4 linked regions of the Drosophila melanogaster genome follow. The protein of the gene in region 1 interacts with the protein of each later gene in a pairwise test. Each region holds a gene or a part of one and is shown in the gene's direction. Other genes may lie near its edges.

Region 1 (8,328 bases):
GCCTGCGTGCCATCAACAACAAGGATGAGTAAGATTCAGATATTGATCTAGATCCTTATGGATTTGGTGGATCCATCGCATCGCCTTGTATAGGTCGTTCTGTAGAAAGTAGCTAAGACATTTTCACATATTTATTGAAATCCTTCGCAAAATAAATAGCAAACTTTAAATACACTTTTGTCAAATACGATCTTTTATTATTACATACATATACATATAAAAATGTGTGTTTTTCTGTTTTGTTGGCTTTTCATCCGCTAGTGTGTGCTTTTTGTTTGTTGTAGACATTTTTCCGGGCTGCTCCGGAAAACTCTAGATATTTCCAAGGAAACATTATTGCATCTCTCTGAGTTCGTGAGTTTTCCAGATTTCCACCCTTTTGCTGTTACTAGCCACACACGCATTTTTATCATTATAATTTTCTTGTCGTGTCACTCTCTTTTCAAGTAAAATTATTGCTTTTTGCTCTTCGCTTAGAAGACTTGGGTCTTAAACTAATTTAATTTGTAATTGTAGTGTTATGTTTGTTGCTTTTTTGTTGTTGTTGTTGTTGTTGGGTTCGTGCTATAATTTAATACTAATTTTACACGAGCATTTCTCATTTACAACCAGTTAAAAACTAGTATATATACTTTAGGGTTTTCGGTACTCGTTTCAACTCACAATTAAGGAAACTCTGGGCTTAATCTTAATACCAATTGGATGAAATCAATTTTGATTAATTCACATACACGCTTCCTGTATGGCACCTATATAAAAAAATATAATGAACTAAAAACAAAAAGAAAAGTTCTTTTTGTTAGGATTCTCCGCTTACATGCGGTTTTTTCCAGCAAACAAAATTATATTTTATTCGGTATACGTTGTGTGTGTGTTTTCGAGTTCTTCAATTAAATTCTTCGATGTGGAAACAAAATTAGATTTTCGATGGAATCACAATTGAAATTTCGTTTTTTTCTTTTATGGAAATCTGTAGCTAACTTTATATACAAAGTCATTACATGTATATACTTTTCATATGGCAGCTTTGTTCAGTCCGATATTGCAGTTGAAACTATTTGTTTTACCATTTTTCACTGGTGTTTCCCGAATATTTATTCGATTTCTAGTGGTTTTTTACTCTCTATAATATATGATTCGTGAATGGTTTCGTTTGAAGTTGAGGGATTGGGATTGGAATTGGGTTAGCACAAACAATAAACACAGTAAAAGTTAAAAATTCCAACAGTAGTATTACACAATTACAACACAACAAGCACGAACGGAAAATAAATAGAATGAAATGTAGTTTCCCCGTTTCGGTATCCAAAAGGGGAAACTAAAAGTTAAACTTTAAAATATAAATCATAATAGCGACATTGCGGATCTGTATACTGTTTTCGCATTCGGCTATACTAAGGTACATAAGTTAGTCGTGGCACTAAAGAGCCGGCTTTAAAACTCCCTCCGCTGTTTTCACTGCCCCTCAACTTCAAAGCGTGGAGATCAATCGATCCAGGGTTAGGGTTCTTGGATCTGCGAAGTTTCTTAATACTTTTGCACGGATATGGATATGGATATGGATGGATGGATGGATGGATGGATGGATGGATGGATGAATCGATGGGCAAATGCCTGGTGGGTGTATGGTTCACGATGAGATGATGTGACAATTTGGGAATGGAGCTAGTAGTTAGTCTGGTAAGTTCATTTGGCGCATGAGTTTCATTCGACGATTATGTTTTTAAATACATTTATTCTCGTGTTTATCAACTGGTTCTTGCTAGGTTCTTGTCGCTCTCTCGGGCTTGTTGTATATAAGGCAAACTGTATGCGAATCATACATATATTGAACTATGTAAATACGTTTATCATTCTGTCAGTTAAATGCCGGGGAAGATCCTGGGAGAAGCGCTGTCGTCTATAAATGTCTATGAGCTGGAGCATGGCACAACTGTTAGTTCATCTAGTCCTGGTTCTGAGTGGCTATCCAAAAAATTGACCAACGGTGTAAAAACGGGTGTGTGAATGCTTGTATATATATCTGTATATATAAATCTTGTATATGCTACACGACTCTATCCACGACTCTAAGCCCTAAGTGCTGACACAGTGACACTGTTCACTGGTAGAGTGCCGCCTCCTCTGGCTCTCTATCGTCCTAACTTCCCACTTACCTACGAGATTTTATTTATTTTTTTTTTGTGTGTAAATTCAGGATTATCTCTACTTGGCCGCCGCTGCCGCTGCTGTGGCATTGGCCGGCGAAACTTTCAGCTTGATGAACATGCTATTGTCGCCATTGGTGCCGCTGTTCAAGTCCAGCTTCTGCACCTCGCACTCCAGATTGTTGATGCAGTTCTTCTCGTACTGCGTTGTTCCGTTGTCCGAGGCGGCGGCTTTTTCTGTCGGCTGTTCACTGGGCGCCACCTTCTTCTCTTTGCTCTTTTTCAGCGCATTCAGCAGGGTCTTCTCTTTGCTCTTGCCCTCCTTGTGACTATTGTCCTTGTCCTTGTGCTTGTTGTTCTTGAAGCGCGGGAAGATGCAGCCGTTGGGCAGGAAGCCGCCCAGTTTCTCCTTCTTTGCGGGAGCAGCAGGTGGAGGAGTTGCTGTAACGACGGGAGCAACAACGGGAGTTGGAGTTGGACTGGGCGATGATGTGGCTGTGGCTGTTACTGTGGGTGTTGCGTGGCTGGGTGTGGGAGTGCTAGCACCATTTGTGGCTGCCGGTGGTGCAACCTTTACTTCTGGTTCGTTCTCCACTGCCACCGGCTGATTGTCCAGCACAGTTGTTGATCCATTCAGCGAGCTGCCTGCATCCGTTTGATCCACGCAAGCATCCTCCGAAACTGGCGATTGCTCCTGCTGCTCACCCTGCTCGCTGGCCACTTTGTTGTCCAGCTGCTGGGCAAACACGGCCAGGGTGATGCCATTGCCATTGCCATTTCCCTGCTCTACCAGCAGCGGCTCAGACAAGTGAGCCGGCGGCGAGCTGGCCTCGTTCACTGCAGCACCAGCACTAGCTGCCCGCGATGCATCCGGCGATTTGGGAAACATCTGTTGCGTGGTGATGTTCTGGTAGTGCTGCTGCTGGCGCTGCTGCATCATCTGCTCCTCCCTCTCGCGATCGCGCTGCGCCTGAACGGCATTCCAGACATCCTTCAGCTCGCCGGAGATATCGCGATCCTTGAGTATTACGGCGTTTCTGGAGATGTATTACATATATTTTTATTCTTGTTTTTAATCGGGCAGTAAACTAATAGTGTTATTATATACCTGACTAATTTCACGCCTGGATTCATAGCCTCCACAAAGTCGCACATCAGCTCCACCATAGCTCGTCGCTCCTCAGGATCTTTGCTGTGACGTCCGGAGTCTTTGAGCACCTCCGGATTGGCCATTACGGCAAAGACAATGGGAGGACTGCGTGGGCTGCCAGGCGGTACCTTAATGAATAAGAACATTAACATAAATAACTAATAAAGGAAACACCGACGTGAATGTTTGAGGACACTTAATCTAAGGAATCTTACCCGCATGCCTCCGTAAAGGGGAATGGGATCGCTGGGCTCCTGCGGTATCACAATGCGCGTCCAGCTGAGGACATTGATGAAGAGCTCCTCGCCCGCCTCCGTGGTGGTGCGGATGCACATGTGGGGCTGTGGCGGATTCTTGAAGTGGCGATAGGCCCGCGAATGTCGGTAGCTGTGCGGCGGCGGTGAGGAGTTCATCAGACTGAGGCCGAGTCCTGTGATGCCATTGTTGCTATTGCCCTCGAGTTCCTGCTGCTGCTGCGGATCCTGGTGCATCTGAAGCTGGGTTTCCGTATCTAAATTATTGTTGTAGCTATTTGTTGTGGTTGCATTTGCATTGATGGCAGTGTTTGTATTTATCTCCTCGCTTTGTGATTGATTTTGTTGTTGTTGCTGGGATTGTTGCTCCTGGGCTGAAGCCTCCGCCTCGAGTTCGGCCGCAGACATGGTTTTGGATTTTATATAACTATTCGGCAGTCTTTAGTTTAATCAGTTTCAATAAGATATCCTTTTGTTTCTCATTCGTTCACTGGGATACGTTTGAATTCGCCATGCGGCGAGTGTGTCGTGCGGCGAATTCGTTAGCCGTGTTTTTCGTCCTCTTTGTTCTACCACGCACTCACACCAAAACACCAGCTCTCTCGCTCTCGCTTACAGGTCGCCTTCATACAACATTATTATTGCTCCTTGGATCCTGGCTGCGTGCCTAACCTGTGACCTTTGGCGTAATTAATGGACTTGCCTGCATATTAGGGCCTACGGCGTATTATACCCCACACAGTTGACACTAATATCCTCCAGAAATTCAAAGTCTTTTTATCTGGCACGCACACGAATGCAAAACACCCTTCTGCCTTCCTACACACGCACAAGTGGGAGTTGGTTGACTACGGGGGAGGTGGGTGAAGAAGAGAAGAGAAGACAAGGTGAAAACATGAAAATGGAAAAGTTCAAAGCGTTTGCGGTGCCACACTTACACATTTCACTGATTTTCATTTATAATAATCACTTTTCCATTGCACCATGCACACAAAAACACACACAAACAAACGGGCGCAGTTACATACTTATGTATATATGTATATATACACACACGATGCGTTTTCCTGACTCGCACTCACATAATTTCCCATTAGAATGGGCAAACAATGCAGGCAGCGGAACGTGTGTGCTGCGCTGATTTTTATATTTAGCTTTTTAGCAGCTTTTCATGGCAGACGGACACACGGAAAACAGCCGATTTTTCCGACAACCCAACATAAACAAAAAACTAATGGGTCAGTGTGGCCAGATGGGGTTGCTGCGCAATTTCAGAGCGTTGCCATTAGACAAGAAACACCAGGGCTGTCGTTACATATGTAAACAAACAATAATTTAAAACTGCATTTAAAAATAAAACAAAAAATTGAATAAATCTTTAATAAATATTAAGCAAAAGGTCATTACAAGTTTATTTCACACAAAGTACGAAATCGATTAATTCCATAATCTAGTTCAACGAACCAGTTCTGCTCATCATCAATCAATTCACGTGCAGCCCTCGTCCAGCCGGTTAATTTTTTTGCACAAGCGCTGGACAGAAAAGTGTAATTAAGCGGCTTAAAACGGGTTTACATTTATAGTATAACTTGTAAATAAACAGTTAAGGATTATAATATTATTGGAATACAAGTTTCCAACGCACAACCAAAGGATTTGGTAGAAAGTCGGCCAGCTTGTCCCGCAAATTTTCCCACAGGGGTGTGTGTATAACAAAATGGCGTCCTCGCAAGTCTCAAACAAATCGGGCTCCGGTTGGCCGCGCCGCGGAAGCCAAGGCCAAGCGGATGCAGCCAGCAGCAATAACAACGGTACCCAGAAGTACACCAACCAGGCGCTAACCATCAATCGCACCATCAACTTGTGGGTACAACACATTTCATTCATAGACGCACATCATAGATCGATCGATTGTTTCAGATACCCCCTTACGAACTACACATTCGGCACCAAGGAGCCGCTCTTTGAGAAGGATCCGTCGGTGCCATCCCGATTCCAGCGGATGCGCGAGGAATTCGACCGGATCGGAATGCGGCGCTCCGTCGAGGGAGTGCTTCTGGTCCACGAGCACGGACTGCCACATGTCTTGCTCCTGCAGCTGGGCACCACGTTCTTCAAATTGCCCGGTGGCGAGCTAAACGCCGGCGAGGATGAGGTCGAGGGCCTCAAGAGATTGCTATCCGAGGTAAGTCAAACGTGGCGCCATAGTTAAATATTGTTATTTGATCTTAACTATCACTACTTTTATTATTTCGTAGACGCTGGGTCGTCAGGACGGCGTAAAGCAGGAGTGGATTGTTGAGGACACGATTGGGAACTGGTGGCGGCCGAACTTTGAGCCACCGCAATATCCATACATTCCGCCGCACATCACCAAGCCCAAGGAGCACAAGCGGCTTTTCCTCGTCCAGCTACATGAAAAGGGTAAATATCCGCAGGGCGTTTTGTAAGTCCCTACGCGTAGGTATAACGAGCACACCGTGTATCCAGAATATCCATCTCTCCATGTACTTTATATAACCTATAGATTGTTTTTGTTTGCCAAAAACCGAATACGCTAACAAACCTCATGTCATATCTTTTCAATGCTGTTTAGATACGGACGGGAACGCCAGTTACGATGTACCCTGAGCAGTTCCATTAGCGCCGTGTGTGTCGTATCTACCCAACTCTAATCTCAAGAGTGCAATGCCATAGAACAACAAATCGAGCAAACAGAACAGATCAAACAGAAAAGAAACAAACAGATCGCAAAAGCTGGCGCAGGCGACTCCTTAGTTAGTTTTGATTCTAGTCCAATTGTACAACATGTCGAAAATCAAATTCAAATTGTATTTTTGCTCAGGACTGAGTGTTGGCATATTTTGTTATTTCCCGATTTTTATCATTCGAAATTCAAAGATTGTTCTTGTACTTAATTTTGTAAATATGTCGACATACTTGTGAGACTGAGCGCAGCAATGTTATCCTTCTATTTACATATTTTATTTATTTCCTAGCTTCTATTCTTACTTTTGTGAAGTGTCATGTGTCGTTCATCTTAAGGTTGTTGTGTATTTATCGAAAGCAATCCAATCCATCGGGCAGGCAGCAGAAGAGCATTGTAACGTTGCTGGCTGTCGCAGTCATGTGCCCAAATCTCGCGTGTTTTGCAGATTTGCACGCATGCTGGGCAGTCAGGTCGCAAGTCGCTCCTTAAATTAAGCACTCGTTTATGTAAACACAAGCAAATACTGTTTATACCTTTTTTGGCCCTTACGCATTCGCTGTGCGCTGAAATGAACTGATGTTGTCCACCAGCTGAAGCATTTCAGCGCACAATTCGAACCGCACTTATCATGTATAATGTTGCTCTAAATTGAAATTATGTTCATAACTGATATTAGGAGACATCGCTGGGCCAGCAAAGTGCCGGTCATGCTTTGCAAGTCGCAGCGAATCCAATTAATTAGTCTAACGTAACCAACTATGAATGTAAAACGAAACGCATACGACTCTTTATATCATACGGCTGCGAAATGATTCTTAATATGTAAATTGTACAACCGATTGTAATATCCCTAGATGATATATCCTGTGAATTTCAATGTTCGTTGATATCTCTACATACATGAATTCTGTCTCTATCGTTTTCCGTAATCTAGCACTATTTGCTGTACCCAAAAATTATAAGCTTGTTGCTGCGCCATTATTCGAGCTATACGACAACTCGCAAGGATATGGACCCATTATCTCATCTCTGCCGCAGGCCCTCTGCAGGTAAGTTCGTAACGCATATCGAAGTTTATAGATTGCCGCCCCACTTACATATACATACGCTTCCTCACTGCAGATTCAACTTTATCTACATGTAAGGGCAGACGGAGGAGGGGCCCACGTCCAGCAATAGTTAAGCATCAACAGCAGCAGCAGCAGCACCAACGATAGCGCTACCTAACTGATTTCAGCACCACAGATCAGCCCGTAGATTTCCATTTCATGTGTGTGTGTAAACGTACATAATTGTATTGCAGATAAAATGGAAAGCCAGTCTCTTTCACTTGGCAAATAGAGTCGACAAAATTTTGTGCTTTATTTGTATATCTTCATCTTTAATATCTATTTGCATTTTGGGGGTTTTGTTCTATCAACTAAATGTTAGACAATGTTTAAGAAATTTTAAGTATGGTTATGAAGATGCATTCTGGCCAACTGGCGCTATCCCTATAGCATGTACTCGGCATAGATTTGTTCGAAATATTCTCGTTTTCTGTAATTGGAAGATACACACGGGCTGGATAACATTAAGGGCTATTGCAAATTCACAGTACAAAGCGAAATTATTAATAAAGGATCTTTTCAACCAAAGACGAGTATGTGTTGTAAAATTATCTAGCTCAGTACCGGCGGCAATTAATCTACGTATATTTCAATTTGCTATTGTTAACGTTTAATTGTGAGGCTCTAGTTTAGTTTACGGATGCTCTTCGGTGTGCGTGGCTTGTAACAAATGAACAAATCAACAAAAGTCGGAGAAGAAGCTCACAACGAAATCATCGAACTGAAGTACAGGAACCGTTTGGTGTGTTATTTTGATTAGACAATACAATCTTACAGACTAGATTAGATTTTTGTTTAATTATGCTTATGCCACACGTACAAAAGATGTTAGCAAATATTGCGTGCCTTCTGGTTTGTGACTTCGACTTCACCACAACTTATTGTGATAGAACTTTAGATCGTAGTAGCCCTGATCGGTGAGGCCGCCGCCGCCGGAGGACACGGTGGACATGGCATC
Region 2 (10,785 bases), on another chromosome or scaffold:
ATTAATTATCGCGTAATAGAGAAAAGCTTACGTAACTTGTGATTAGACAACGTGAAACGCAGGGAAAACTCTTGTTACCACCCTCGTTGCATTTTATGGTTATGGCTTACGATTGTTGCAACAAACATCTGGCTTCCCCATTGCAGCAGGCCATGTGTCTGCCTCTTGCCAAGAAAATAAAAGAGCCTGAATGTGCAACTGGCCAAAGCGAAGAGAACGGCCAAAAGAGAAAAAAGAGTCACTTGCACTTTTTTGAGCCCCTGTCATCGGGACAGTGGAGTACGGAGAAATTTCAAATGGGGCGACTTTAATTTATATAATGTTCATTTATAGATCAATAGAAGTGTTGAGTTTATTTCTAAGCAATTTTGAGATTCTATATAAATTCTATATAAATCTAGTAAAATTTCTTTAAATACTTGAATGAAGAAAAATGTTAAAAATATTTGCTTAAATCTTAATATATTTAATTATCAATATAGACCCCCTTTCCTACGCTCCTGCATCCCGTTTTTTTTTCGTATGGGTTTGTCTCTTTTCTGTGTGCCACATTGGAGTGCACGTAATTTTCCATTTAGTGGCAGGCAAATCGAAAACGAAAGTGGAAATGTTGCACTGTCGCCGGTGGCTCCAGCACCTCCTCGCTCGCCCACGCCGCTCGCTCTTGGCCAGCCGGTTGTAAATCCGAGGAAGAAACTTAAATAAAAAAAACCAACAACAACAACTCCTCCTCGCCAAACTCAAAAGCCAAAAATTGTGAAAAGGAAATCCGCAAATGCGGAAGAGACCGTCCAAACTCAGTCCAGTCCAGTCAGTCAGTCAAACGATCCGTGACTCAAGACCATTATCTTTCATTATAGCCATTGCACCGCACTTGGTTCTGCCCGATTGAGCTGTCAAAGGGCACCGGATTTGGGAAGCCAGGGAACCCAACCCATATACCCGATAAGAAACCCTCACCATGATAGAACGGGAAATTATCCAGTAAGTGTTAATCCTTATCGGTGGTTTGTCCACACATATGGCACGGATGAAATGTCACAATCAGTTGGTGCAGTTTAAGCAATATAGTTGATATGTTGAAATTAATATTTATTTACAGCTCTAAATATGTTATAATTTATAATATTTACTATTTCATTTGTTTAGTAGCTCTGGTTAAATCTATCAATATATGTAAATGCTTTTTCCAACCCAGGCAGCCTTGACTATGATTCCCTTGGCCAACAACGGGAGTACCCGAAAAAGGGGGCCAAGACCCAGTGTCAATATTTCGAGGCGCCTTGAGCCCCACCAGCATTCTCCAATATCTTATGTTGTACTATATTATGGGGTCTTGGCAAAGTCCGAGCCGAGCGCTTGAACATTGCACATGCAGCGGGCGCATACAAATAGATAAATTAAATCATTTGGGGGTTTGTCGAGACTCGACTTTGTTTCAATATTTGCCAACTCGGAGTGGCCAGCAAACGCTTCTAGCTGTTGCGAATTTCGCTACGATCGGTGCACTATATATGTATGTTCTATATTGCAGCACAACACCTGCCTCGAAGCGCATCTTCGACGTCCTCAAGGATGTCCTGCAATTTTTCGAGCTCTATGTGCGAATTCTGTTGGAGCTGTTTGTGTCGCTGGTGCAGATTGTGCTGCCCAAAAAGCAGAAGGATGTCAGCGGGGAGATAGTTTTGGTAAGAGCATTACATGTGCAAAAATAACATAATAAGTTAATACCAACTTGTATTTGCGCAGATAACCGGAACTGGGCATGGAATTGGTCGGGAGTTGGCCCTACACTATGCTTCATTGGGTAGCACAGTGGTTTGTGTGGATATCGATGGCAAAAATAATCTGCAGACGGTGGAGAAGGCCAAACGGCTCAATCTCGGCGAGGTTTACAGCTACAGGTATTAAGTATACTTACTAAATGTTTAAATAAATAATAACATTATGTTCAACATTGGCAGCTGCGATGTTTCCAAGCGCGATGAGGTTACGGCACTGGCGGATCGGATCAAGTCGGATGTTGGATGCATATCGGTGCTGGTTAATAATGTGGGCATAATGCCAACGCATCCCATTCTGCAGCAATCGGCCGAGGAAATCCAGCGGGTCTTCGACGTGAACGTGTTCTCGCAGTTCTGGACCATCCAGGCCTTCTTGCCGCACATGCAGGAGAAGTGTCGTGGCCACATCATTTGCATGTCCTCCATTGCCGGCTTGGTGGGCATCTCCAACCTGGTGCCCTATTGTGCCACCAAATTCGCTGTACGCGGTCTGATGGAGGCACTGCATGCCGAATTACGACAGGGACCTTTCAGGGATCTGGTAGAATAACCATGTGAATGTGCTAGATTATGTGATCCATGTGTGAATCCATTTACAGATTCGAACCACCACCATCTTTCCCTATATGACCAACACTGGCCTCTGCAAGCATCCCAAGGTGAAGTTCCCATCGATCCTGGGCCTGCTCGATCCCAAGCAGGTGGCCAAAAGGATCGTGGAGGCTCATCGCACCGACCTCATGGAGGTAACCATCCCGAGCTGCCTCCTCTACATCAACAACTGGACGCGACTCCTGCCCGATCATTGCGGCCTGATGCTTAAGGACTTTATCGACAGCGGTGTGGAGTCGGATTTGATTTAGTTTACCTTCTATATTCATATATTAGATCTTAGATCGAACTACAATATGTTGCAGTACAATAAACTTACTATTGGAGTATGCATTAAAATAAAGCTATAGAGATTTTCAGCTTGGTACAAAGTAAGTGCACAGTTTACCATTTTGATCATTATCAAAAAATTATTTGATTTATTTTGTATTCTAACTTATAATTTAACATCTATGCATATAAGCCAAGTATTTATTAGTTTGGGCAGATTAGATGAATAACATCCTCTCAGTTTATAATGTTTTAAAATTACGTACAACAAAGAAAATTACTTTAATGAATTTCATTAGTTCGTTATTATTGGAGTTACCTGTTGCATTGAAATCGATACATAATCGATAATCGATACATCTGGCTATAGCTAAATTTACCTGCACTGTCAACTCCACTGCAAATCAGCTGTGTGATGAAAACAAAAGGCGATGGCTTGCGAAGTAAAACACTGCGGAGAAATCCGTGATTTTAAGAAAGTCCAAGAATACTTTGGACTCGGACATGGTAAGATAAGACAAGTCTCTGCAGCAAGTATTCATAGCTAAACCGATCCGTGCAGATGACAACTGGTTAAACGCGATAAACCATGCCATTTCACCAACTGGGGAACTGATTGCCATGGCGCAGGGTGAAAAGTTGGCATTCCTCAGCACCTGCTGGAGCAGCCATGGCAATGGCAACACCTACGTTCTTGGCTGGTGCGGCGAGCTGGAGGATCCCAACCAAATCGTGACTAGCCTCACCTGCTTGCCGATGACTCAGAACAAAAGCACCGATGGAGCCATCGAATGGACCTGCGTGGCAGTTGGCCTGTGCTCTGGCATGGTTACCTTCTACACGGACTCGGGTGTAAAACTCTTCTCGCAATGGTTAGTTGTGGAATTAAATGTATCTACGGCATTAACCATCTATATTTTTCAAGTTGCCAAGAGGATCCAGTAATTGGAGTCAAGCTGCAGTCCGCTCCGCGACATTCTGAGGCAGATTCACTGCTCTACATCATCTATCCTCGCTGCCTGTGCTTCATCCAGGGCCAGGACATTTTGCCCACGCTGAACAATTGCCGGCACAATGTGCAAAGAGGTGCATTGGAGCGTAGTTCGTATCCCACTGCTGATGTGGTGCCATTCCAGAAGTATAAGTTCAAGCAAGAACGAGAGGCCGTCATTAATGATGCTGCCATCTCTACCACCCAGCGACCTCCCACATACGACTACATTGTTCAGCAGACCATCGGTCTCGGTTATTTCGCCAAGGTGCACGCCACGCCGCCGAGGAGCTCACAGGTTCTGGCCGCCGGAGCAGAACCCTATTTGGGCTTCTTTCAGGCGGAGGAGGGTTATAAAACGATGTCGCTGGGTGAGGTTGCCAAAGACGTAATCGGAATAGCTTACAAGAACCTGCTGGGCGGAATCTTTCGACGCGCTCCAGAGCCCCTGCCATCGCCCGAGGAATCACCACTGCCGGTGCCCACGAAAGAAGCACCGATGCGGATTCGCTGTCGTCTATATGACGGCAAGAGAGATGGACTGACCTTGTCTGTGGCACCTGGTGGACGCCTGGCTGTCGTTACCGATAATCTCGACCGTGTAATGTTGGTGGATACGCACCAGGCTATTATCTTGCGTGTTTGGAAGGGCTATCGAGATGCACAGTGCGCATTCGTGCCAGTTAAAGAAAAATCCGTTCGCGGTATCAAAACGCACAAGCGAAAGGCTTTGTTCCTGGTGATCTACGCTCCTCGAATGGGCTGCCTGGACATATGGGCTTTGCAAAACGGACCCAAGGTGGCTGCATTCAATGTTTCGAAGAGCGGGCAACTTATGTACAACAATCATAGTCCCCTAGGCTCAGGCGGCAGCAGTGGATCTGGTAATAGCAGTAGTCAGTCAAGAAAATCTTTAGCCATCAATCATTGCTTGTTCCTGGACCCCAGCGATGGCAGCCTGAAGGAGATACACATTCCTTTTCACTACGCGCTCAGCGAGACCAGCTCCCAGACATCACGGGATATCCATATGCTGAGGCGCCTCAGAAACCAGCTCAGAACCATAAACCATGGCCAAGCCAAAGATGAAGCGCTGCAGGAGATTGGCGAACTGGCAAGTGAACTGCAGACGTTAGAGGTGCGACAACAGTGTCTGGAGATGTTGCTTAAGAGCAAGAAGCTGCAGCCACAGGTGTTTCAATCCATCATTAATGCCTTCATAAAGAAACCTCTTTCTGAATCAACGGGCTCCGAGGAGTTTGTCAACCAAATCGAGAACTATAAACGCTTGACTGATCTCTACTTGGCCCTAAGTCAAGCCAATCAGCGTGAAGACAACGAGCCACCCGTAGAATACTTGGAGCTTTCCGATGCTGATCTTGTCACCATTAACAAGTTGGTTCTGCTCCTGGACGATGGCACCGAGAAGGATAAACCCGCCGCCACTCGTGAAGTGAGCTTCAAGTTGCAGGCGGAGCACAAGACCGAAGAATTTGTCGATTACCTGAGCATCTTTAACATCGATAGTCCGGATGGGATAAGTCTACTTCCGGAGAAGTCAGATAAGTTTGGCGCCGTAAGCATCGATCTCTTTAGTCAGTTCTTTGCCCAAGGTCTATGCTTTGGCCAATTCAAGCAGTGGATCAATCAGGCGTGTTTGCCCAGCAGAGATTTGCTTAAATTGATTATTTGGTTTTGGCTTGAGAAGCCCTTTAAGTACAACAACTGGTGAGAAAAACATATTTTATAAATTCCGTTCTCAATTTATGTGCAATCTACTTTTCTTACTTTAGTGATGAAGTAGTGGAGGACATGTCCAGAATTGCTGCTATGGTGCAGACCATTTGTGATCTGGCTGGTGAACACATCCATGACTATGCCTACAATGCCATTTCACCGTGGTGGCAGGAAGTTCGGGAACTTCTCTTGGAGAGTAAACAATTTTCGGGCTTGCTGGTGGCCATTGTATGCAAAACGGTAGCGACTAATTTGTGGCGAAACAGAAAAGAGGTAGGTCTACTCCTAGTCATTAAAATCAAAAACTCTTTTGCGAAAAACACTTTTTCCTTAGGGATCTTGTGATGAATCCTCGCAGAACGAAGATGATGAGCGCTGGGAGCGTATCTCCCACGATGAGGCTCAGTGGGGATTGCTCACTGGCAAGCTAGAGGATGTGGCCGTGCTAGGAGCCATACTAAGGTAAGTGCCAAATCAATCGTTCCACTTAGCTCCTTTATGAACCACTGCTTCCTTCGCAGTAAGCCTCTCATCTGCCGGGATCCTGTTGGTCCAGAGATGTCCTACGAGCCACCGGACTGCAGTCTCAAAAGCATTGTGAGCAGTGGCAAAGGCATCGTCACCGAACTGACAGCCAAGTGGCTGATCAGTGCACAATTGCATCCGAGTAAAGTTTTGGAGATATCGCCTCCCGAAAACGAGTTAGACGACGAGAGCAAAGTTAAGATAAAGGATGAGCCTACCAAGGAGTCAGTCGATGAAGACGCGGAATCAGAAGAGGATTTGGAAATGGCAAAGGAAGTGTACGCGGCGAGTAAAGAAGCCCATGAACCTATTCTTGAAAGATTGGCTCTGCTGCGTGCGCATTTTCCCTTCAGCTTGGAATCGGGCGTCCTCTTAAGTCTCATGTCGTGGCAGTACATGGTCCAGTGGAGCAAGCAGCTCTCATCGCTGGACCACCTAAAGGCAGCATTACTTTGTTTAAACCAATTCCGTACACCTGACTGGGCCCTGAAGCATGGAATATGTTGCATGCTGTGGAATGCCACCCTGAAGTTTCCTCTACAGGCGGCGGCGAAGCTTATTCAAAAAGTGGGACGCCTGCCAGTGGACAAGATGTGCCAGCAAGATCTCGAGATGTCTGCGGGTAAAGTGCCAGAGTTTCTAGAACTCAGCCTCGAATTCCTGCAGCATTTCACCGCTTCCATGGAGCACGATAAGCGTGAACTGCACTTCGAGCAGTCGCTCAGCGAAGGAGCCCTGCCATTGCAGTTTCTGGCTCTCCAGCAGCACCATGCCATGCCGCAGCTGCTCCGTCTTCAAACAGAACTGTGCAGCGTGCTGCACTTCGTTTCCTTTTTCCAGCTGCGCATTCCAAAACCACTGACCACGCTTTTTGACTCCATGAGCAACAAAGCTCTGCTGGCGGACATCAATAAGGAACTGCCTTATGTTTTGCCTGCACCAGATCTTGTCCTGCAACAGCAGCGCACTGAGTTCCTGTGTCGCCTTGTCACCGCTACCATGGATCTGATTAGAGAGGATTTGGAGCAGCTGTACATTCTCGATCATGTTTTCTACATGGGCAAGATCTGTGCCTTAGCCGACAGTTGGGAGGTCGATAAACTTCCTATCCTACGACGGCAGGTAAGAATGTACATACATATATGATCCCAGAATTCCTAATCTAGGAACCCATGAACACACATGACAGGGAGCTTACAATCCCTTTTGCCTTTCAACATCAGTTCGTTAGTTTGCTCCGTAGAGAGCACAACAGAGGAAACACAATGGAATAGAAAATATATTCCAAATATTTTTCCCTCCTCCAGGTGGTGGAACTGTACGCTTTTGGGTATGATGCGGAGGCTCAAGTGTTGCTCCAGGACATCAGCGATGACGAGGAGCTGGGCCGACTGCTGCTGGAGATCGCTGGCCGTAGACTTAATCTTTACGCACAGAGCTCGCAGTCCACGTTCCTGAAGATTGCCTCTGTTGGCCACCAGTTGCTGGCCTACCTAGACAACCTGGTAAGTGCTGCAAGCGCATATATCATTCGCAGTACTGATCCATTTCTCACGCCGCTTACGCAGAAGGAACCGATGACGGAGAACAACATTCAGATCGCGGCCACCAAGCCCGACGAGATCGATGTGGCTGCCCTGGACAGGCTGTTGTCGCATGCCTACAAATACCTTTGCCGGCGCGAGTCCAAGCAGCTGCCCATCATTGGCCAGATGTACAACGCCGTGCGTATCCTGCAGAATTAGGAGTGAGGATGACACATAAACACTTGGTTATTTTACATTTCTCTCATGATTTTTATGGATTCAAGAATGAACCCAATATTGATTGTTAAAGCACCACATGCGGTCCCATTAATTGTCTTATACTTATCAACCTAGTAGCGATTTAAACAACCTACGAAAAGCATCATATTAATTACTTTCAAGAAAAAGGATACTAAGATCTGCACCGATAGGAGGATGTATTCAACACGAATTTGATGTGAAGCTTATGCCTACAAGGATTATGAACATGTATATTTAATAAAATAAAAAAAAAAATTTTAATATTCTTTTACTAAATTTAAGGGATACCAAAAGATAAAATAACAATACTTTCTTTATTGATGCCCAACGTAATTTAATTTATATTTGAGCAGGGATCCAAGCGGGTCTTTGAACTTCGTGCCTTGGGCGCTGCCTCCAAGTTCTCCGCCTGTATTCGTCCGATTGCCTCCGGCGTGGGCAATCTCTCCGGCATCATGGTGGCGTGCACTTTGAGATGAGTGTAGACGGCAATGTAGCTCTGGCTGGTGTCCAGTTCGATGGGTGGACTCTGCTCTATGCGGCCAGGCAGGGCAAAGTGCTTGCCAAGAATGGGTTCCTTGAGAGATCGGGCCAGAATTTTTTGCAGTCCATCGCGGTCGGTGTCCAACTGCTCGCTGTTGAAACTTGAATTCATTGAGAATTAATTGAATCTAAGGATTTTGAATTCCAATGTGTAGTCCCTGGAGTTTTATCCGAACAAAAGATACGACGACCCGAGTTGCACTAGGTTAGTGGCACTGACTCCGACTAATCGAAAAACAACAGTTCCTCCTTCATGGCAACAAGTAGTTCAGTTTGGCATACCTTTCGTTTGCGAGGAGCCACCTCGGTTATGACTTATTTATTATTCGAGGCAGAAAGTTGATTCTCTGGTTTGTTCAATTTGGGAACTCGGCTGGGACACGCAAGGCCAAGAAGCAAAGAACTTGTTTCGTGGGTGAAGTTTATCATGTTGATAAACATGTAGAATAATGAGGAATGTCGTTAGAGACAGTTTCATGTGGTTCCTTAATAGTCGCAGGATTGCTTTTATAGGCATACAGTAAACTCACGATAGTGCTGACCTGACCATCTATTTTCTTCGTTAAATAAGTACGCTCAAATAGAATACGTTTGTATATAGATGTGTATTGGGCTTAGCTACAGAATGGGTTATAGAGGTTGAACAATCACTTAAGGGTTTACTAGGCTAGGGTCTCTACAGGCAGCGGGCAATCAGTTCGTTGATGGCAGTGCCACGATCGCCGTACTCGCCACCGCGTTTGTACGAGACGGATACCTTCTTTTGCCAACCATTGCTGGGACTGGACAACTGGAAAAAACCAAATGGCGGTAATAGTATAGTTTTAAGAATTGCAAAAGAGAAGTTGTTAACCAACCGTGAAGGCGCACAGAAACTCATTTACAGCGGCGAAGTTTGGACCCACTGTGCAAATTTCGTGGATTATATCCTCCAGACAGATGACACCCTTGTCGCCCAGCTGTTGCTCCACCATGGTGTTCGACTGGATGGCCGTCTTCTTGCCGTCGATGCGGGCGAAGCCCTTCTTGAAGACCAGCTCGCGAATGGAGCTCAGCGAGGGATTGCCGTAGACTACAAAGGGTTCGATAACGCGCAGCAGCAACTGGTTCTCCTTGGTGTTCTCCATGAAGACGGCGTTGTGGCGCGAGCCCATGCGCAGGGTTCGGAATATATCCGCGGTGGTCTTGTCGAAGATCTTCTTGCCCGCATGGCGCATCACGAAGAGCAGTTTGGGATTGGAATCGTCGGCAGCTTTGGCACTTTGTTCGGTGACATTGGTGCGCAGAATGGTTTGCTTGATCCGCTTGGACGTGCGCTCTGCTTTCAGGTAGCCCATTACGAAGGATTCGGCACGGCGGAATTTGTGGTGATTCTTGGTGGCGGTTCTCTTTTTGATGCGGTCATTTCTTTTCTGCGTAACAACAGATTCATCCTGCAGAATTCTCCTCTTGCGATGCTTTAGCACCGACACTGTTTTGCCGGGCAATTTGTTGGGCACCGCATATCTAGGGATCAAAAGTATAAGATAATGTTTAGGGTCAACACATTTTTATAGTTTTTCAATCACTCACTTGTCTGACATTGCTGGTATTTGGCTTTTTAATCGAAGTAAATTAAAACACGTGCAAGCACCAAAACAATAACTAAAAAGGATAGAGGTGGGCGCGGAGCGATAAGTGCTTTGCTATCGATAAGTGATGTGTGCAACAGCTGAGCGCGTTTCGTGGTGAATAGCTAACAAATTTGAAATTTTTGGCGGGAACATTTAAGAAATTGTATTATTCAACTGAAAACTATGCTTAATAGTTATGCCATAAGATAAATTTAGCATTAGCTAGCATTCAAGAGGACAGCTTTAATGTTTTCTTCTTGTAAGTAACCATTTGACATTAATTTCCGGTTTTGAGCACTCATTTCTCATTTTTTTTCTTTACACTCATTCTCTCTCTCTCTCTGTTTCTCTCTCCGTTTGCTGCTCTCACTCTCTCACTGCGTTTTAGGGTGAAAATTGCGTTAATTTTAGTATGAAAATGCCGGTCTCGATGCCAACGCACAGTCGCTGTTCGCAGTCAAAGCCGTTTTGTTGTGTCCGCGCTCTCGAGGTAAAATAAATCGTGTTTTACGTGCAAAGTCGCTGGGAACAAGATAAACCGAAATTAATCAGCCAAACTGCATTCCAAACCTTGCGAATAACCAACAAAAAAAAAAAGAAGCGAATAAAAGCAATCGAGCAATTGCCAGAAAAACTGCAACTCTGCAACTGCAAAATTCATTGCCACGCGTCGTAAGGTGATGACGAAATCGTGGAAATTGGCACGCGGCAAAGGCGTCACCATAAAAGTGGAGCTCCCCATTAGGCAGCTACACACCACAACATGCCAACCCCAAAAATCACCCTACTTTAAAGCTAAATTTCGTGTATCGAAGATAGTGGCGTCGGGGAAACATTCAAGTTTATGCCTGACAATGGGAGATTAGTTAGCTGCCAGCGAGGCAAAAATCGGGTCTTCTTCACTAGCAATTAGTAACTAAAAT
Region 3 (6,731 bases), on another chromosome or scaffold:
GCAAAAAGCCGCAAATTTATTTGCCGCTCTTATCGCTCTATCCATGTAGAAATAAAGCATAGAGCATATTTTTTTAATATTTTCTATATTTTTTCCTATTGTTGATTTCTTATGCCATTTTCGGCTGATGTGCACAAACAGAAATCTCTTGTATGGCTAACTTTTTAATAAATAATCTCGGCCATTTAGCTGGTTGCAAGCAAAAAATACATAAACACGCAAAATAATAATCAGCATCTGTCGTCGTTGCCGTTTGATTGTCAATACAAAATATTTATATCGCTAACACAATTTGCCAAACAAATTGGCCAGCTCGGCGAAATTTGATTTGATTTATTCCTTTCAGCACTCTCGGATAGGTTTTTTAAAATATTGCGTTTTTTTAGCATAAGCTTTAGTTTAGTTTCCATGGTTTGGTTCGGGTTTTTGCGCTTGAAATAATTGATATCGGCTATTTGCATATCAGATTTAATATATTTGCATATATTTCTTTTGCAAAAGAGAAACGATTTTGCGGCAAGCCAGTCAGCTTTTTGGGTAACATTTTTTGTTTTTTATTTGTCGCCAGGCATGCGGAAATAATTTTGGCAACTAAAACTCGTATCTAGAGAAGAATAGAAACGGTCTGCTCGTAAAAGAGTTCGAAAAGCCGGCAGCTCCAAACATTTTTGCAAAAGAAAGGCTAGAAGCAAACAAACTCGTTTAACTGGGGTTTAACTGGCAAATTTGTCGTTCGTAAATAAAGCTTATGATTTAAGGAAATTACTAATGCTCCAATTTATGGTGAGGCGACAGATTTGATTGGATTTTTGCACCTGAAAGGCACCGCCCGGTTTTGACACCAGCCAGGTGATAGCCGAATAAATTAAATGCACAATTTTATTCGTTTCGACATTCTGGTGGGTGCCAGTACAATGGCAATAAAATAATATAGGGGCAGTCTTGTTGTCTCGAAGAGAGAAAGACTAAAAATAATGGATAAAATAATAAACAGTGTCAGATTTTGTAAATAGATCGATTGACCCAAAAGGCCATTTACATAAAGTGGTGCCAGAAATTCCCTCCCGTAGATGTTTTTTGTCCGCTTGAGCCGTTTTTTTTTTATTTATTTATTGATACGCCAACGTCGTCCGACCGCTATTATCTTCGATTTCGTGCTGGAAACTCTTTTCCCGCGTTTTGACCACTTTTTATGTCGCTGCTGCGTGCATCTTTTATGTGCGTGTGGCGCCCGAGACCTTGAAATTGTGGCTGGGTTGTTTTATTATGCTTACATTTGATTAGTTTGCATATGACATTGCCACCAGCGACTAACTTGGCTGAGATGCTGGCCAATCGGCGAGCCGCAACAGTTGGCAGTGGGCAAAAGGTGGGGCCGCACACAAAGCCAAGACAAATTGTTTTTGACTTTAGGTTATTGCTTCGAATGTGAATCTTAATTGGATCCCGGCCAGCGTGGAATGGGGGGCATCATATAGCATCATTAGATATAGAACCATATAGAACTTGTGTGTGTCCGTCACTGAAAATGATATCATGGTTGTGATGTCTTAGCGGATTTCCTAACTGACCCCATCTTCGAGTTACTCATCGCTATAGTTATCCGTGATATCAATCAATATATATATTAGTCATAACCGCGATTGGCATTCGCCACTATTGATTTGCAAATCGGTTCGGCTATCTTAAATATGGATCTTGGGTATTTCTCCTAAATTATGCAAATCAAATCAGTTTTCAGCGGATTTGCTGCTGCCTCTACCCCCCTTCTGCTCGAAAACTTTGCCGAAATAAAATAAAAAACCATAATTTTTATGATATCAATAAACCATGATGAAAAACGTGATAATCGCTGATCAGATTAAATGGTCGCCTGGCGCCAGCTGATTACCGCCGAATTCCGAATAGCTTCGGGTGCTGGTCAACAGTAAAAAACCTCAAGGTCGCAACGGTTGTTAGCTTTATGGCTTCTATTTTGCGAAGCCGTGTTTTTGCCACAGGTTAAATGGCCAAGCGACGAGCTCCGGACAAATGGACAGATGGGCCGTCGGATAGATGGACGGATGAATGAATGGATGCGCAAAAAGGCTGGCGAAAATTGATTTCTATCCATTTCAGATCCATTGTTTTTCAACCCTACCACAGTCCACAGTCCAGTGTTCGGGTTTTATATGGCCAAACCCTAGAGCAGCCAGTTCCATACACCATACACCATACACCATACCATACCATATACCATATACAATATTCCAAATACCAAAGGGGGACGCAATAATCGCTGGGGATTCCCAGCTAGAAATATGCGGCTGGATCAACTAAAAAGTGTAGAAAAACCGAGTCGTTTTCGAACTCGTTTGGATGCTCCGCTAAATGTTTTAGCATACAAAATATGAAGAAAATCATTTCATTTACTGAAAGCATGACCATTTATAGTAGTGGCTTTTGCTAAACGAGTTTTCAGCCGTTTCCTCCGCCGAGAGCCTGCTCTATTGGATTACAACTTGACGGGTAGGGTCGTGTGCCTAAAAATTTTCGATGATGGTACTACGACTTGGACTGAGGGATCGTGGAATTAGCATAATGTCGACGCCAACATTTGCAAGAATAGGGCGGCCAGGTATCGATGCGCTTTGTTCACGTCGGCTTGGCCATTGTTTTATCGCACAAGCTTCGTTTTTCGAAGGTGGATAGCATTTCAAGAGACAAAAGCTGCCGAAGAAGTTACCAAAAAATGCTGCGGAGCCAACAAATACAACGATGGTAAAGTCTGCATGAACTTGAGCGCAGTTTAGTGACACCGATCGTTGGTTTTCGTATAAATATTGGACCTTTCGGTGATGCAAACGTCAGACACAACCAAGTGGTCAAAGTCAAAGAACTAAATTCAAAATGCGTGCCTTCATTGTAAGTATACGTTCGATCGCCGACGAAATACTCCAAAAGGATACCAAGGATTACAATGCTGTTTTCTTTATCTCCAGGTTATGTGCTTGGTGGCAGTCGCCTGCGCCGATAAGCTCGGCTACAACTACCAGCCCGTGGGACACTCCAGCTCCGGACTGTCCTTTGCTCCTGGAAGTGGCAGCATTGGAGGTGGCTCCATCGGAGGAGGCAGCATCGGAGGAGGCAGCATCGGAGGCGGCAGCATCGGAGGCGGCAGCATCGGAGGCGGCAGCATCGGAGGATCCATTGGTGGTGGTTCCATTGGAGCCAGCATCGGAAGCGGTGCCGGTCTGGGTGGTCTGAGCAGCATTGGTGGTGGAAGCATTGGCAGCATCGGAAGCATTGGTGGTGGTGACGCCCTCAGTGCCCCCGTCTCCTACAACGCCCCTGCCCCAACCGCCGAGCTGGAGAAGGAGTTCTTCACCTTCACCGCCAACGAGCAGGACTTCGATGAGCCCCAGCAGCTGGAGCGTGTGTCCTCTGCCCTGAACAAGGCCCTGCGCGTTGTCTTCATCAAGGGACCCGAGAACCGTGGCCTGGAGAACGCCGCCCTGGCCCTCGCCAAGCAGGCTGCCCAGCAGGAGACCGCCATCTATGTCCTGAACAAGCAGGCCGATATTGGAGATCTGGCCAACAAGCTGAACGCCATCCGCAGCAACAACAACAACAAGCCCGAGGTGCACTTCGTCAAGTACCGCACTCCCGAGGACGCTGCCAACGCCCAGCGCGCCATCCAGGGTCAGTACGACCAGCTGGGAGGATCCAGCCAGGCCCACAACGGTGGTGTTGCCCCCGTCCTGAACTTCGCTTCCGCCGCTCCAGTGCGTCAGGCCGCCGCCCAGAGCCCCGACAACTCCTACCTGCCATCTTCGGTCTTCCGTCGCGTCTAAGTCGCTCGTTTCACTCCTTTCGGAATCGAAAACGCCAGCGATTTTTGACTGATATTAAATCGTAGTTTTTGTTGACTAATGCTTAAATAAATTCAATTCTTAAATTTTAAAACCAATTTGACTTGTTGTAGTGCATTTGTAAAAACCAAAAAACTTTGCAGGCTGAGTTCATTGGGAACGAAACTTCGCAAGTTCGGATTTATTTGCAGCGAAATATTTTCTTGCAAACTTTGAAAGCGCACATAAGTAGAAGCACTTATATATTTCTTAGGAACTAGTTTATACTTTAACCATATTCAAAATTTAATACCAGTTTATGGCTGCTGAGATCTTGGGTTTTGAACAAGTATTTTTATTTCTTCTTTCTTCTTTCTTTCTGTTTTTATTCGATTATCGCTGCTATAAATAGGTATACAATTTATTTTGAAAACTGTTGCATACTTATGTTGCTTTCGTCAATTTTTAAAGGAATTAACCAAATGAAAATACAATAATTTACATAACCAAATTAGATAACTTTTATTCGAAAACAACGTTTAACAATCGATTTTCTAGTGACGCAGGCGACTCAGGATGTTGGCGGGTAGGTAGTTGCTCTGGGGCACCTGTTGAGGAGTAACGCGTGCTGGAGCAGCTCCCTGGGATGCAAAGTTGATGGCATTAGCCACGCCACCGTTGATGGACTGGCTGGAGCCGCCGAGTTGATCGTACTGCGATTGGATTGCCCGCTGGGCATTGGCAGCATCCTCAGGTGTCCTGTACTTGACGAAGTGCACCTCGGGCTTCTTGTTGGCATTCTGGCGCACGGCATTGAATTTCTGGGCCAGCTCGTTGATATCAGTCTGTTTGTGCAGCACATATATGGCAGTCTGCTGCTGGGCCGCCTGTTTAGCCAGGGCCAAAACGGCATTCTCGTAGCCACGGTTCTCCGGCGACTTGATGAAGATGACGCGAATGTTCTTCTTGACCGAGGCAAGAGCCCTCTGGAGAGCAGCCTTATCCTCGAAGTCGTCATCGTTGGCATAGAAGCTGTAGAACTCCTTGTGAACTGACGCCTGGGGAGCGGCACTATAGCTAACTGGTCCCGCCAGTGCAGGGACTGGGGATACACCACTGCCCCCAATACTGGTTGTCGCACCTTGTCCGTAATTATATCCGGACAAGCTACCGGCACTTGCCGCTGCCACAATGCTTAGAATAATGAGGGCACGCATATTGACCCGATGCCTACGAGATATTCTAGACGAATGAATAATATAGCATTCATTATCTACCTTTTATACCGCCAACGCGACGACGTTTAAAATTAGACTAGAAAATCTAGTCAATTGAGCCGTCTAGTCACTTTGGGGTCCCTCTGGCGGAACACGGCGATCATCGATCTCCGCTCACGAATCGTGACTCGCGAATGGCCAGTGGCTATTGGCCATCGGGTTTTCGGAATGCTGTTAATCTGCTAACATAATTTCGCTCTTAACACATTTAACACATTGTTGTGGGCAAAAGACAGCTTCAATCGTGCCGCCGACTGAGATGAGATTCCGAATCGAAGTCCGAGTCCGAGCTAAGATCCGATTGCGAGTCCAGTCGTTTTCCGAACTATCGTGATTCACCCATAATTGGCTTATAATTTATGCACAAATAAAAGAAAAATAACCGATCTCTTGGCTGTTTCAATCGGATTGTTTTGTTATATTTGCTTGAATATGTATACAGAACCGCTTATTTGTTAATGATTTCAACAAAAAAGTGATCGTCAGCTTAATAAAATTAATGATTAGACTTTGTTTTTATGGCTAATCAGGTTTCGATTGGGCATAAATCTTCATTGCCTTCGTATGTGGGTTGCACTTGAGATTCCTTTCTAATTGTACGTGACACACGACGGGCCTCGGAAACCAGGTCATCTAACAGTTGTTGGCATCTTCGCGACCTTGAGCTGTCGTCGGGAAAGAACCAGTTCCTCGTTGGCCGGGAGTCCGGTATTAATGCTTCCCGCTGGCCAAGTGGGTGGATCTAATCTTGTAGTCAATTAATTTGGCGGCATGCGAGTTGGCTATGTCAGATAATTAGTCCATTGATTTGTATGGAAAGTCTAGGTGAATATGATTCGACGAGGGCTTAAACTCATAAAGGAAACCTGCTCCGAACTGCCTTTCCTGATCTTGATGTCGTCAATTCGAGATATTTATAGTTTGAAGGGCACTTTTTATACTTAACCCATCCGCAAACAATCAAGCCAAACAAGGCGGACTTAATGCACCATTAGCTACTATGGCCAAGCCGCAATAAAAATCTCACTCTATAAAACACATAAGGTAGACCTTTGTTTAAATTTTCGTATTTAAATTTCAAATTTATTGGTGTAATTATGCATTAGTCAACAACGTGTAACAGGAAGAATGAGTTCTTCAGTCGAGATTTGCTTAAGTTAATGGAGTCCAAGATGTAGCCTTCCTAGAAACGCAGACGACGGAACACAGAAGTGGGCAGGTAGGCGTTGTCGGGGATCTGGGCGTTAGCCTTCTGGACGGGTCCAGCGGAGGCGAAGTTCAGGGCGGGTGCAACACCACCATCATGAGCCTGAGAGGATCCTCCCAGCTGGTCGTACTGACCCTGGATGGCGCGCTGGGCGTTGGCAGCATCCTCGGGAGTGCGGTACTTGACGAAGTGCACCTCGGGCTTGTTGTTGTTGTTGTTGCGGATGGCGTTCAGTTTCTGGGCAAGATCTCCAATATCAGCCTGCTTGTTCAGGACATAGATGGCGGTCTCCTGCTGGGCAGCCTGCTTGGCGAGGGCCAGGGCAGCGTTCTCCAGACCACGGTTCTCGGGTCCCTTGATGAAGACAACGCGCAGTCCCTTGTTTACGGATCCAGCAACACGCTCCAGTTCTTGTGG
Region 4 (6,504 bases), on another chromosome or scaffold:
GCGGTCCGCAACCGTCTGTCCGCCTTGCCACGTCCAGCCGACGTTAGATTGGCCCCGATCTCCAGGCTCCGCACATCCCGGCAGCCAGATGGTGAACCTCTCCTCGATCGAAGCGATAAAGGCGAGGCAGGCGCCTTAAAGATCACGGATTACCTGGAAACCGAAGCCCGCCAGCTGGACAGTTGTTGGAGTGGTTGGTGGCGGATGTTGCAGGCGGACAGGCGACAACGGCCGCCCGGTGGTATTCCCTCCTTCCAAAACGAAGAGGTGGACCCGGATTTGGAGAAGAAGGAGCACGGCGCAACGTACACGGTGACACCGACGACGCACAGGCGAGAAAAAAAACTTAAAAACTAATTGATAATAGTAATAATAAGAGTTATAAAATAATTTTTAAGCATTACAGTAATGTTGTGTGTTGTTTTGTGTGTGGTGTTTTTCTTATCGACAACGTCATGCTGACGATTCGATTGAACAACAAAAGGATGATAAATGTATACATGTAAATATGAATGATAGATTGGATCAATGTGTCGCTGGTATAGCTCCTTGGCGTGCACCTCTCCTACAACGGTACGTGAATGGTCTACTGTTCGGGAATGGACGACAGTGATCGAATCTGGCGTTCCTGCTGATCCACCTTAAGCACGCTCGCCACGGATGCGGCGCGCCAACTGGATGTCCTTAGGCATGATTGTCACGCGCTTGGCGTGGATAGCGCACAAGTTGGTGTCCTCGAAGAGACCCACCAGGTACGCCTCAGATGCTTCCTGTAAGTCAAGAGAAATTCATATGAGTTGGATAACCAAGTTCCTTTTAGATATTAGTAGCCCCCCCTTCATAATCCCATGAATCCTGTCATTTTTAGTTAAGTTAAGCCACTCTGATTCTTTGGAGCATAATTCTCACCTGCAAGGCACCGATGGCAGCCGACTGGAAACGCAGATCGGTCTTGAAATCCTGAGCGATTTCACGAACCAGACGCTGGAAGGGCAGCTTGCGGATGAGCAACTCGGTCGACTTCTGGTAACGACGGATCTCACGAAGAGCCACAGTTCCGGGACGATAACGATGGGGCTTCTTCACTCCGCCGGTGGATGGCGCCGATTTACGGGCAGCCTTGGTGGCTAGCTGCTTACGAGGAGCCTTTCCTCCGGTCGACTTACGGGCAGTCTGCTTAGTACGAGCCATGTTTTCTTAGCTTTTTTTTTTAAACTGCAATTAAGAGAATGGGAAATGCAAATGTTAGATTTTGCGCGTTCCAGATTGACACAGATTAAATAAACACTTCTACAATCATTGTTTGGTTGGTACCCAAAATAAACACGCTGATCCTCGCCAGATGAGAAAGACAACTCGATGAACTGGGCACAAACTCTAAACTATTCGTCCAGCACAGGCGCAGTGCACGATGCAATTGGCCAGGATACGATTGTGCTGTGTCGTGGACTCTTGACGGATATACACGGATGGATATCGCTGGGAGCCAAAGTTTGGACCGATGCACAGCGCCGAAGCGCTGGCGGCCAACTGACGAGGAACTTTGGTTCGTGGTCATAACGATAACGAGGGTTGAAGGTGAAATTTTTTTGAGGCAGCTGCCTGCTTTTCCTTCTTGCCCCCCATTTCAAATATTTTCCCATCTTCTGGGAACGAGGCACTCGAGAAACTTCCACTTCAGTGGCAAAGGAATAAATCGTGCCTCGGCAGCAAAACACTCAGAAAAATAATAGTGTGATCCATATTTATATTGGTGTGCAAATGAAGCTTAGCTAAGATGATTCTAAAGTTTTCACATTACTTATAATTAAAAAAACTTAAGAAACATTTCTGATAATTCATAAAGGTGGTCCATAAAAAAACCCTAATTTATCCGTTCTAAATAGCAATAGGAATACCATCTAATTCTCAATTGGTGGTATAGATATATTACATCTGCTTTTCTCGCTGTGTAGTTGTTCCACGATGGAGGACCACTTGAAAATCTCATTTCTTTTCTTCGCGGGCAAACATCGTGAGTCGCCGTTTTTTGTGTTCCCCTTCTTTTTATGTACAGCCTCTTGAGTTTTTTTCGCGCTTTATGCGGAATCAATCACGCTGAAGTAATGAGTTGTAGTTTTCAATTTATAATTACTTGTGCAGGCAAGAGGAAAATATCAAATAAAAGGAAGCCAAAGAAAACGAAAAAAATTCTTCGACTGGTAGCGCCAAAAGAGTAAACATAAACAAAAGGAAGGAAAATCAAGCGGTAAAAACTTGGCGCGCATTGAAAGGCGGCAAGTCGAAGGGAGATGCCTATAGGGGCACGTTCGCGTTAGAAAGAGAAGAAAGGTGTGCCAGCAGTTAATTGCGTCGTTTCTCCGCTAAACAGCATGTGTGTGCGTGTAGATGTGACAGCTGCACATCCTCACAAAAGAGAATGCCAAAGGAAAAAGAAAATAAAAAGCAATTATGCAATAACATACGGGAAAAGCTGGCGGTGGGAAAGAGAGATGGCACACACTGCGCATGACAAGCGCAGCCATGCACATTTGCATTTGTTAACCAATGTGCGTGTTTAGTATACACACACATCAACGCGCGTGCCACTTAAGAAATAAATAAATAACTTTTATATGTTTATGCCAACCAGCATAAATACGATTACTCATACTTTTTGGCGCCAGTTTTCGCACATTGGCAAATCGTTTTTATTTATTTTTTTAATTTTCTTTTTGCCAATTTCATCAACGACTGCAACTTTTTTATTTCTTGCTATTCTCCTGCTTGGCGGCCATTTTGGAAAAAAAAAAAAAGCAGCGCACCTCACCATTACAACTAAAACAACAATGCAACCAACAGTCGTGCGAATACGAGACCTCTCACATCTTCGTGTATTTGTGTATGTATCCACCAGCGAGAATGCGCCTGTGTGTGTGCGGTGAAAAATAGGGCTCCGCTGGACGGCCGGCGGAGCCCCAAAAACGGCAAAACATAAACTCAGGCGATTCACAACGAAAAAAAAATTTGGAAAACAGTGCACACACGCACATATTCAGCGGCCACAAGCACGTGCGTTTTAAGAACCACACTTAGTATTATAAGTATTTAGCAATAAAAAAAAACTCACCGTTAAACACGGAATAAAGTTATTCTTCACAATTTGTCACTTTCAACACGAGACGAACAAATTCGGACGAGAGAAATTTTCACAATGATTTCGTTTCGTTGAGATCTAGAGATGGTAGCCTAGTAGGCGAAGGCCTACTTCGATTGTATTCGATTACACTCGATTGTCTGACAAGACCATGCCCGCCAAATAGTTTGGTTCTGTTCTTTGCTAATTACATTTTTATAACTTTTTAAAATTTTTTTAACTCCAACCTAAGATTAAAAATGAATATGTTTTAATGGGTTGGACTCTGCTAATTTTAATGAAATATAAGCTTCATTAAGCAAAAAAAAAGCCAAGTTCTTTTATGGATTGTGGGTTTCTCTCTGCAGAGAACTTTATTTTAGTGCATTGTGTGTTACATTTGAGTTGAACGAACGTGCATACTACTGCGACTTCTTGTCCTCCTTGGCGGCCCTGCCCACGGGCTCATCCTTGAAGTGAAGGAACACGAATGAGAAGACAAACACGCCGATCATCATTGAGAAGGCGCTGGTGTAGTAGGGGAATGCGCTCGGGATAAAGCGCTCGTACTGTGTGTGCTCCAGCGGACGCACCGACACCTGGGTGGTGCTGTACAGATGCGTGTAGCCCACGCGATTGTAGTCCACCTTGAACTGATAAACGCCGTAGACGTCGGGTATCTTGAATTTGGCCTGGTAGGCGCCCGTGTTCGTTTGCTTCAGATAGGTGCGGACGAAGGGATCGATGCGCACGAACTCCAGTTGAATGTCGCTGGCCTTAAAGGCGCGCCACTCGCCCTGCACCAGCTCCTCGATGCCGATGGTGTAGACGACCGGATCGGTGATGGTGTACGCCTGATCCGGTGGCAGCAGCTCGCCCTCCTTGTGATGTTGCACGGATGCCACGCGCAAGCGGCCAGTCTCTCCAAATACCCACTTGCTAATGGACTCGGCCACGTCGCGATTACCGGCCAGCTTGTGGAACACACCGCTCTGTGCGTACTGCACGGCCGTTGTGAAGCTCTCGTCAGAGAAGAAGAGCAGCGAGCCGGAGAACACTACGCGGGCATTGTTCCTCGCCTGCAGGGCGGCGATTAGCAGCGTGCCTCGGCCAACGGCATGCGGATAGTCGGAGACACTTGCCTCGGGATTGTAGCTATAGGCGGTGCTCTCGGCGGTCAGCAGCTTGAGTACCAGCGGGTTCTCCTTGTCGGCAATCAGTCCTGTACCGCGATAGAGCAGCGGTGCGGCATCCGCCTGCCTGTTGGCCTTGCCCACAATGGTGTCGGCCTGTATAAGATTCTTGGCGGAGGTCAGGATGGTTGTGTGCTCGCCAGCATCGCTAACATCGTAGTGCAGATGGTCAATGACCGCCGCATTCTCCTCGTCCAGCTCGAAGCCGCACTCGGAGGCGAATTCCCTTAGCGCGTCGCCGGATTTCTCGCTGCCCGCCACCAGAACATTGCCGCCATCGTCGACGAACTGGGCCAAACGCTCCACGCTCACATCGCCGCCGAATTCCTCGACACTTGGTGCGAATATGATGACGTTCTTGTACAGATATTCACCGTATTTGGACAGCAGCAGGCTGGAGTCATCCGCCAGTTTGTAGGTGAGCTTAAATCCGCGATCTGTAGCCCAAAGTTAAACAATTATCAACACATTTCATTGTCCACGTCAGAGGTTAACCGGCATTTTCACTCACCCTGCAGCGATTTGAAGAAGATCGAGTGGGTTTCCCGGATGGCCAGGTTGTCCAGCAGAACCAAGGTGTTGGCGTCCGTTTCCAGTACCGCCTGGCAGTGGGCAATCGCCAAAACGGCGATCAGGAGAGCCTTCCACATCATTTTATCCAACTAAAACACAAAATTCTCTCCGGCTTTTCTTGAAAAAAAAAAATGACTGGCTGTCAGTGTGGCCGAATACTGGTAGGGTGTGCCAAAATATATACAAATATACCAGAAGGAATTCAAGAAATTATAAAAAATCGATGATTTGATTAATAATCGATTACATTTACTAGCCAATTTATAAACAAAACATTTTAATTCAAATTTTAGATTGTGAATAACATTCCTTAGCAACAACCATAATGGACATATTCGAGAGCTTCTGTCGCACGTGCGGAAACGAATGCCTGGAATCGCTGTCCATTTACAATGAGTGTGCCCAAGTGCTTGACCAGATGGTGCCCATTGCGGATATGCTAGCGTCCTGCCTGCCCGCCTCCTTGCCGCCACTGGACCCAGAGGACGACTATCCCAAACAGATCTGCCGCATCTGCGTGAAGAAGCTGTCGATGGCCTACGAGTTCAGCCACCAGTGGCTGGGCGCCCACGGCGAGTTCAACGTGGCCCTAAAGTTCGAGCAGCGCCGAAGGCGCAGCCAGGCCAGCAAATCCCAGTCGCACACGCAAACCCAAACTCATCCGGTGGAACCGAAGAATGAGCAACTGCCCACGGTGCTGGCGGAAGCAGTGTCGACCAAAAGAGGTGGGTGTACAATTTTCTTATCTAGGCTAGGTAGATTTCAAACTTCTCAATCTTCCCCAGCAGCTGCTACTCCCACCAACGAGTTCAGCAGCGACTCCGGACCGGCCTTCAAGTGCGGCTTCTGCGGCGAATGTTTTTACACGGAGAAGGCCTGCAAATTTCACTTAAAGTTCTCGCACAAGGATCTTTAGAGAACTGTCTGTTTTTTCCCTTACTTGTAATTTGGTTTTAAGTGTATAAATCTTTTGTGAAATTAATTTTAAATTAGGAATATATATATATATTCCTTCTCTTTATACAAGTGCCTTCTTTGAGTTTTTAAACCCAAAACGTTGCAATTGTAGGGATATAGAGTGCATTTGTGTAAGTATGAAACACAAAAAAAACCTGGAAAACTACTACCCGCTATAGTTGAACCACTGAACACTGGCTTTTGTACATTTGGATGTTTGTTTTACTTAGCTTTAGAGTAAACAAAAAAAAATCAAAGATGAAAGCCGACAGGATTTTTCCGAAGGGTCCAACTCCTCTAGTCATCCTCGTCGTTGCGCACCTTCAGGGCGCGCGGATCGTCGTGGCGGTAGACAACGTAGCCGAGCTTGTAGCGTCGGTTATCGCCGTCCTTGGCATAGTAGTTGGCCACTCCGATGGTGGCCATAACGATTCCGGCGAGGGCCAAAGCGGATCCGCCGACGATGTCCGGAATCTCGTTCCAGGCGCGCTTCAGCAGCGATGTGGAGCCTCGGGCAGCGGATGCGGACATCTTGGTACACTGCGGGATGGGGCTATTAGTTCACTGGGCGCAGCAAATAAAATTATAAAGCATTTACCAAAAATTCAACGCGTTCAGTTAAGTTACACAACGAACAAACCAAACAGCTGATTAGAGCTGGCCTGC

The links.
Region 2: the proteins of Cpsf5 (region 1) and Rab3-GAP interact in a two-hybrid assay, tested with the Drosophila melanogaster proteins (one large-scale study listed by BioGRID).
Region 3: the proteins of Cpsf5 (region 1) and TwdlM interact in a two-hybrid assay, tested with the Drosophila melanogaster proteins (one large-scale study listed by BioGRID).
Region 4: the proteins of Cpsf5 (region 1) and Dlip1 interact in a two-hybrid assay, tested with the Drosophila melanogaster proteins (one large-scale study listed by BioGRID).

What each region holds. Positions count from the first base shown.
Region 1 is NT_037436.4:9,406,008-9,414,335, forward strand, and holds Cpsf5 (cleavage and polyadenylation specific factor 5), read left to right. Parts: upstream 1-5,030; 5' UTR 5,031-5,268; coding exon 5,269-5,414; intron 5,415-5,471; coding exon 5,472-5,736; intron 5,737-5,809; coding exon 5,810-5,975; intron 5,976-6,147; coding exon of another isoform or gene 6,148-6,182; exon of another isoform or gene 6,183-7,195; coding exon 7,196-7,310; intron 7,311-7,383; coding exon 7,384-7,405; 3' UTR 7,406-7,828; downstream 7,829-8,328. Other genes in the region: Cpr67B (cuticular protein 67B), read left to right, coding at 1-32; CG4022 (uncharacterized protein), read right to left, coding at 2,206-3,184, 3,256-3,425, 3,513-3,959; Atat (alpha-tubulin acetylase), read right to left, coding at 8,239-8,328.
Region 2 is NT_033779.5:12,055,469-12,066,253, reverse strand, and holds Rab3-GAP (Rab3 GTPase activating protein), read left to right. Parts: upstream 1-3,069; 5' UTR 3,070-3,097; coding exon 3,098-3,173; intron 3,174-3,228; coding exon 3,229-3,538; intron 3,539-3,591; coding exon 3,592-5,385; intron 5,386-5,450; coding exon 5,451-5,667; intron 5,668-5,728; coding exon 5,729-5,856; intron 5,857-5,915; coding exon 5,916-7,041; intron 7,042-7,226; coding exon 7,227-7,424; intron 7,425-7,487; coding exon 7,488-7,664; 3' UTR 7,665-7,950; downstream 7,951-10,785. Other genes in the region: firl (firelighter), read left to right, coding at 962-984, 1,535-1,688, 1,750-1,904, 1,965-2,325, 2,384-2,647; CG34164 (uncharacterized protein), read right to left, coding at 8,041-8,361; RpL7-like (ribosomal protein L7-like), read right to left, coding at 8,926-9,039, 9,107-9,755, 9,822-9,832.
Region 3 is NT_033777.3:26,616,278-26,623,008, forward strand, and holds TwdlM (TweedleM), read left to right. Parts: upstream 1-2,840; 5' UTR 2,841-2,889; coding exon 2,890-2,904; intron 2,905-2,981; coding exon 2,982-3,833; 3' UTR 3,834-3,947; downstream 3,948-6,731. Other genes in the region: TwdlP (TweedleP), read right to left, coding at 4,385-5,047; TwdlB (TweedleB), read right to left, coding at 6,291-6,731.
Region 4 is NC_004354.4:9,153,471-9,159,974, forward strand, and holds Dlip1 (dorsal interacting protein 1), read left to right. Parts: upstream 1-5,151; 5' UTR 5,152-5,206; coding exon 5,207-5,606; intron 5,607-5,666; coding exon 5,667-5,797; 3' UTR 5,798-5,905; downstream 5,906-6,504. Other genes in the region: His3.3B (histone H3.3B), read right to left, coding at 642-770, 910-1,191; Ost48 (oligosaccharyltransferase 48kD subunit), read right to left, coding at 3,538-4,745, 4,820-4,961; NdufA3 (NADH:ubiquinone oxidoreductase subunit A3), read right to left, coding at 6,136-6,369.